2 linked regions of the Rattus norvegicus genome follow. The protein of the gene in region 2 interacts with the protein of the main gene of each other region in a pairwise test. Links are inferred from orthologs where the notes say so. Each region holds a gene or a part of one and is shown on either strand. Other genes may lie near its edges. The genes, in order: Bex3 and Ccdc116.

Region 1 (3,404 bases), on a different chromosome or scaffold from region 2:
TAGCCAGATAGGGCTATTTTCTTAAGAGCCAAGAACCACAGGGGTTATACTCACCTGGATATCAAGCTATAGACGTTTTTCTACCCTATCATACCTCTCACTACATACTTCAGTCAAATTGAGCTGTGCTAAGGCCTATAGGTATAGATTCAGAAGGGAATGTGTACCCAAATCGCATACCTGTAACCGAAAAAGGATTGCAGCATACAGATGACATGGAGGAACCCACCTCCTTTTCCTGTATGGAATTGGGAAAATGGACAAGATCTGAAGATATTCCTCAGTTTACCCCAACTATTTAGGGACGGCTGGGGGCTTAAAAATCTAAACCATATTGGACAATTTTAAGAAATTCTATCTTCACCAAGAGGATTTACTCTTTAAGTTTGTTGAGCAAATAATTCTATAAACCTGCACTAGATTCATAAACTTATACCCCAAAAGTTTATGAAGCCCCAAATAAAAGGAAAGTTATACGTGTCCCCCCAACACTTTCAGAGTTTTTGTAGCTCATTTTTTACTCTAGGTATTTATGCTTTAAGGAGACAATAATGATTACCCAGGTTGCTTTTCAGTTGCTTTATTGACTTTACATTTTTTCCATGCAAATGGGCAACACTGTACTGTTGACAGAAACTCACACTGAGTGGGAAGGCAATTTCCAATTATAAGTTGGCAACACAAGCCCCGCCTGGCACATGGAAATAACACAAGGCTCACCACAAACGGGTCATTTAAAGGCATGTCAGGAAAATGCAAGGGCTAGGAATACAGCGGGAATCACAGTATGAATCTCAGGGGAAATGACCGAAGTCAAGGCATAAGGCAGAATTCATCGTGATGGTCGTGGTGATTAGAGAGCTCCCCCATAAGAATACGCAGACAATTTCTCAACTGCAGCTCCCTAAGCTTTCTCCGGATCTCTCTCATCTCCTCCATGAACATTTCCATATCATCTCCATCTCCACCCAACCCATCATTCATCTGCCTGTTGGGAATGGCCCATCGAAAGTTAGGGGCAAGTCGGCGGGCCTGTCCTCTCCGGTGATGATTGTGGTTGTGGTTGTGGTTGTGGTTGTGGTTATGGTTGTGGTTGTTGTTGTTTGCAGCAGGCTGGTGGCCCTCACCTCCTCCCACGGGGCGGTCTTCCTGTCCATTCTGCAGGGGCTGCTCCATTTCTTCGTTTTCCTGGTGGATATTGGCCATGATGAGATTTTGTTTTCGGGTTGTTATTCTTTGAACACAAGTAAGAGAGGGCAAGGAAAAAAACTGAATGCTTGGTGCTGTGACCAGCAAAATTCAGAGACTAACTGCAAGGGTTTTCATTATTATTTTTCCCCATCTTAGGGTCTCCAGGCAACCTCTACGGAACCTCCATTTCGAGTCCCTCCTCCCACCCCCCAGCTCTCTTTTCCCTCCCTCCCCCAAAGCCCACCATTTTTATTTCCCAGGATCCTTTCCCTGAGCTTTGAGGCACCAAAATGGAGGACTGAGATGGAGAGTAGTGTGAGGTGGGGGTTTTCACTGGGGTCCTAGACGGGGCTTCCCCCTACCCCCAACAAAACACACACTGCCCCTGAACGGACCTGGGCCTATCCCTTGCCGCGTAGTCCTCCTCTCAATCCTCTCTGCGAGACGCGCCTCCGCGACTCCCGGCTAGCAGACCTGCAGACGGGGTGGGATGGGAAGGACTCGGCGCGGGCTCCGCACCGCACCCCCTTCCCCAGACCCACCGCCCATCCCCCTACCCGCAGCGGTCGCCCACGATCTCCAGCAGCCCTGCCCCATCCCGGCTCTCCCTGGCTAGCGCTCTCCGCTGCCCGCAGGCCGGCAGGTCCAGCCGCCCCTTTCCCGGGACCCCCGCGCCGTTCCCGCCCCTGAGCGGGGGCGCCCCTTCCCGGACGCAGCCGGGGTTCCCTCCGCGATGCACAAAGCCGCCGAGCCGCTGCACCGTCCCGGGGTGCGCGCCCGCCCGACGCCTGGCTGTCGCCTTCAGGGCCGCTGCGTGCAGGCCCCTTACCTGCCCCGCTCGCCTTGGGCCCGATGCCAGCCCGCCGCGCGCAGACAAGCTCTGAGCTGGTGGCCAGACGCGAGTGACGACTGCACCCAAGGCTGCGTCGCTCTGCAGCCCCGGGTCACGTGAGGGCCTCGCGTCACTGCCAAGCTCGCTCCCCCAGCTCAGGAGGCCAGTGCGACAGGAGGCCCCGCCCCCGCCGCCCGCCGCCAGCGCTCACCTCGGGCCCCACCCGTCACTCATCCGGATCCGCACCAATCTGAGGAACCACAAGTGGCATCACCGTCAGGAGGTTGGACATCTCCCTTCCCTGTTACCAGGGAGAGTCTGCACCATCCTCCATCTCTCCCTCCCACTATAGCCAGGTCTTGGCTTTGGCCTTCTTTGAGATTCCTCTCCACCTTATACAAATGTTTTCTCCAGGATTTCTCCCCATGAGACACCAGGAGGTGGAGAGTGGGATAGACTGTATATATTTCTCTTTATTTCCTTAAAACACACGCGCGCGCGCGCGCGCGCACACACACACACACACACACACACACACACACACACACACACACACACGTACACGTCCCCGCGCAGGGATGCATGCGCGAGTACACACACGATCAGCATGCTTTAGAAAATTCAAAATTATAAGGACCACTTCTTTCTGAAATGCTGGGGATTGATTCTCTAGTTTAATAATTGCTGGAGAAGCTCTCATCTCCTGAGGTGTATTTACAAAGCGCTTCAACCCCTGCCCCCCAATACACACACTACTTAAACATAAAAAAAAGCCTGTCTATGTTGTTGAATTTCAGTCCTCCTATGTCAGCTTCCCTTGTAGCTAAGGTTAAAGGCCTGCACTACCAAGGCTGGTGAGTTTTCAGTTTTGAAAGAAATGCTTCATTCTGCAAAATGAAAACAAAATGCTGCTTATGCCATCAAGCAGAAAATATCTTCTCTAAGTTTTGCATGTCAGTTTTGAAACACATTGTATTAGTCTGTTTCAATCTTTTATTTAAAAATAAAAGACTCTTGCTGAATACAAACTAATGCTTTAAAACAGGTCTGGAATGGTTTCTACAGAGAGAAGTCATCATTTTATATGAATTTTTGGTGTGCGTGACAGGTTCTCAGTATGTAGTCCCTAATGGACTGGAGCTAGCTATATTTAACAGGCCTCAAACTTGGGGTGATCTTCCCTACCTCTGCCTCCTCCTTCTGCCACCCAAGGCCTGGTGTTATATGATATATCTCTTATTTCATAGACCTCAGGAAAAAGAGCCATTTTAATTCTTTGCTTTCCTCTCCAAACCTTTCAGACCGCCCTATAAATATTTAATGAGCTGAGAAATATAAAATATCTAGAAGTTCCTCCGTAAACCTTCTACTCCGATATGAG
Region 2 (3,916 bases):
CTAGAAGTGATGGGTGAAGCAGCCCCTTCCCTTCAAATGTCCCTCCAAGACCTCCAGCCCTGCTCTGGAGGACACCTCAGGACACAGTGTAGGAGGGGAAGTGGAAAAGCTTTTTCCCAGGGGAAGGAATGGGGAGAACACAGGGAAAGGGAAATGGGAGTGGAGATGGCAGGGAGTGGCAAGACTATGCTGGACCTGGCCCCTGAGTTGGCCCTGGCAGGAGGCCACCTCCACTGTGATCCCAGGGGCAGGCAGGGTGAGGTGCAGGCCATGGCGGGGCTGAGGTATATGGTTGTGGTTTGAGGCTGTAGTTTGTTTCTGCAATTTGAGGTCAGAGTTAGGAGACTTCAGCATGCACTGGGATGAGGGGATAGGGACATTAGAGACTTCTGTAGGTGTCACCTTGAGCCTGAATCTGGTAGCCATCTGGACTGCATTAGATGGGGAGCCCCTTCTGTCCTTGCTTTTTCTGTGAGATGTCTTAGGGCTGGAGGCCGAGGTGGGAGAATAACAAGTCTCTCCCCTAGCCTCCCTGTCGGTGGGTAAGGAAGCCTTAGAGCTGGGTTGAAGATCGGAGTTCCCAGGAAACACTGGAGACAGCTCTGAGGTAACAGGGAAGAGGGGGAAGCCATTGTGGCGGCAGGCATGGCTCAGCTTGTCTACAGCCTGGCTGACCACACGCTGCAGGGCTGGAAAGAGGTGGTGCTCAGACAGGAAATCCAGGGTACGATGGGGTTCCCTGAGTGGACAATAGGTAGGCAGGTTGAAGGAGGTTGGCTGGTTCAGCAGTGACTTTATCTCCTTGTTTAATTCTTGTTTGAGGAAAATCATCTCTTGTTCTCCGAGTCCCAACTCTGAAGTTTCAGGGGTGACTGAAGTGGAGGCCAGAAGCCCAGAGAACCAAGACAGGGGCTGTTCCCGGGTCGGCTGACTGCTGCTCTGGCTGCCCAGTGAGTCCCATAGCAGGGAATCCCTCTGGGAGCAGTGTTGATTCAGAACTTTCTGCAAAGAGAAAGAAAAGCTAAGAGGGATCCAAGCAGGCGGAGCCCTAGCCGCTAATCTCACGCCCACCTTCTGCTAGCCTTAGCCATGGCACCAGACCTCACCCCTTTGCTTTCCAGTCGTAGCAGCCTCTTGAGGTTTTTCTCAAGCAGGAGTTTGTCCCTCATGGGTGGCAATGAGCCTACGCCTCTGGCACCCAGGTCACTGTCTTGGCTGCGGGACCCCAGCCATCCAGCTGTGACGCTGCTATGGGAGTCAGACATGGAGCTGGAGCAAGATGGGTAATTGTTTGGGTGTCCAGCACACAGCGTGGGCCGAGCACGGTGCCGATGCACAGTGTTGATGCTGGGTCTGCCTCGAGAACGATGCCTACTATTTGGCACCTCCACTCGGTCTTGTACATCCACCAGTGGCACTCCAGCCTCTGTCTTCATGGTAGCCACACATTCTGTTGCCTGCTCCACGACTGTCTGCAAGCTGTCCAGTACCTGACCCTCCGTGAGGAAATCCAGGAAGCCACCAAATGCCCGAGGGCGCCTAAGGTTTTGCTGGTGGCCCTGGCGCTCTGAGTATCGGTTCATTGATGGTAGGTGTGGTACACGCCCAAGCTTGCAAGTTGGCCTCATCTCTGGCAACAGATGCTTCTTGGGCAGCTATATTGGAACAGAGAGGGTTGTCATAACAGGCAGGATGCCCTGCAATGGGTGAGGAGCAGTCCTCCCGGGGTGCCATTAGGAGCTGGTTGGTATTGAACAGTGGAAAACTTTTTTCTTTAAGGTTTCTCGAGGCTAGGAATTAAACCCAGGGTCTTGAACATGATATGCAAATGTTCAGCCACTAAATTACACTTAAAATTTTTTTCAACAATTACTTGTGGGTACATGTGCATGTAGGTATGCCTCAGTGCAGGTATGGCAGCCAAAGGACAATTTGGTGTGACTGGTTCTCTCCTTTTATTATGTGGATCTTGGGGATAAACTGATCATCCCCAAGTCAGATCATCAGTCTTGACTCAAAGTGCCTTCACCCACTTAGATACTTCACCAGCCCTGAGTTACATTTTAGAATCGGGTAATCCTGAGTTTGAATCCCAGCCAGCTCTGCTATCTTCAGGATCTATGACTATGCTCACAACAGCCCTTTTCGAGGGCTTCTCTTCAAATTACAGGTCTATTAGGGTTGCCCTGAAGGTTTCCCAATGCCTCTATTTCATATATGCCAGCCCTAGTTGGGAGTCTGAAAGTGGAGTTCTGTGTTCGTGGTATGAAAAGGCAATTATGGGAGCCCTCCGCCCTCAGGCTCTAGCAAAGGTCTACACTGTCTTCATTGCTGTGCTACACTTGAGGACTCGATTCTGTGTCTCCAGCTTGAGTCCTGTACGCTCCTTCTCAGGGCTCCTGGTCCACCCAAGTACTATCTGGGGCCAAGGGGAGTGGCTCAGCAAGCAGGCATAAGGTAAGGCGACGCTACAGTAAGGATTTCACCAAGTGACCCAGTAAGATCAGCTGGACATGAGAAAGCAGCAGCAAGTGGTGGGTCAGCTGGATATACTTACCCGAGCCACATAGGTGCCGTGAGCAGCCTCGTCGTCAGCCAGATAACCTGAGTGGTGGCGGCACCTTGCCATGATGTGGATAATTAAATTTGTTTTCTGCTTCCTTCTTCAGGTCCTACAGCACAGATGCAGACTCCTCTGTATGGGGCGGAGAGAGGAAGTAAAGTTAGGTCCAGGCCTCCATGGACCCCTCATTCCCTGTACTTGTGTCCTCCAGACGTCCCAACTTTCCCTGCTTGGACTGGTCACTTATCTGTGGACATTCCCAAGTCACTGCCTTTTGTTTGCAACTGTGTCTGGGTCCAAATGTGTGTCCAGACTTCTTTCTTTCAGACCTGAGGCATCCTGGAGCCCCCAACCTGCTTACCAGAGTCTCTGCTGTGCTTCTAGGGGTTCACTCATTCAGCACCCTTTAAAGCTCTACCGCACAGTGCACTGGAATCCTACCCTCGCAGCCTCCCAGGATGCTCATTTACATACCTCATCCTGATTGGCCAGAATCTGGCCTCTCATTCACTATCCTCCCCGACACAATGGTTGGGGGAGGGGCCCAGATTGGCTCCTCCCCCACCTTGCTGGATTTTTAAGTCAAGCCAGCTAAGTAAGTAGCGCTTGGGGATGGTTATAGATAAGACTTTATTCAGCCAAGAGGTCTGAATCTGGGGCTTGTCTAATCCTCAGGGTGAAAGTGATAGCCTCAACTTGTTATTCAAACATCTTCCTCAGCTCATTCCTGGACCTCCTACTCGTTGTCTTCCTCTTAGGACCCCATTCCCTCATTGGTGCAGCGTGGACTAGCCCCTCATCTTCCTTTTTAAGTGAAGAGTCCTGGTTTTCTGCACAGCCTAGTTCCTGTCCCTGCTTTTTCTTGCTGATATGACTTAGTCCCTTAACACCAGCTCCTCATAATGGAGCTGAGCACCCTTCCACAAATGAGTATTACAACACATTTTGCACCTTAAAGTCCATATAAACTCACTTCTACAGTTTTCCTTCTCCCTTCATCCTAGAAAGCCTGTCATTGCCAACATATCCACAGCAAGTCCATCCTCCACTGCCACATTGTTTCTTTCTTGTCTAACAGCTGTACTGTTAGGCCGTGTAGGGCAGGAATCAAAGCAGTGAACCCTAGTCCCTAATAACTCCATTCCTCATACATAAAGTAAATGCTTAATTTTCTCTTCCCAATCTGTGGTTCTCAGGGTCCCATGGCCTCTGGCCTTCCCAAGAGCAGCTTCTCAGAGAGGCCCAGTGGTTGAATGACACTGGATGGTTCAGCAATCACTATGATCAGACACAGCAGTGTTTATGCCAAGAATTTGGCTGAAGCGTTCTCCGAGGCCTCCAACCATTACAAAG

The links.
Region 1: the proteins of Ccdc116 (region 2) and Bex3 interact in binary tests that used the Homo sapiens proteins (3 or more experiments, as listed by UniProt). The two-hybrid records come from large-scale screens. The link is inferred for Rattus norvegicus from reciprocal best matches to the Homo sapiens genes CCDC116 and BEX3.

Annotation. Positions count from the first base shown.
Region 1 is NC_086039.1:104,063,586-104,066,989, reverse strand, and holds Bex3 (protein BEX3), read right to left. Parts: upstream 2,095-3,404; 5' UTR 2,021-2,094; intron 1,985-2,020; exon of another isoform or gene 1,749-1,984; intron 1,666-1,748; 5' UTR 1,587-1,665; intron 1,235-1,586; 5' UTR 1,207-1,234; coding exon 814-1,206; 3' UTR 565-813; downstream 1-564. UniProt on the Homo sapiens protein: May be a signaling adapter molecule involved in NGFR/p75NTR-mediated apoptosis induced by NGF. Plays a role in zinc-triggered neuronal death.
Region 2 is NC_086029.1:97,348,781-97,352,696, reverse strand, and holds the start of Ccdc116 (coiled-coil domain-containing protein 116), read right to left. Parts: upstream 2,921-3,916; 5' UTR 2,811-2,920; exon of another isoform or gene 2,807-2,810; intron 2,698-2,806; 5' UTR 2,630-2,697; coding exon 2,558-2,629; intron 1,656-2,557; coding exon 1,107-1,655; intron 1,003-1,106; coding exon 1-1,002.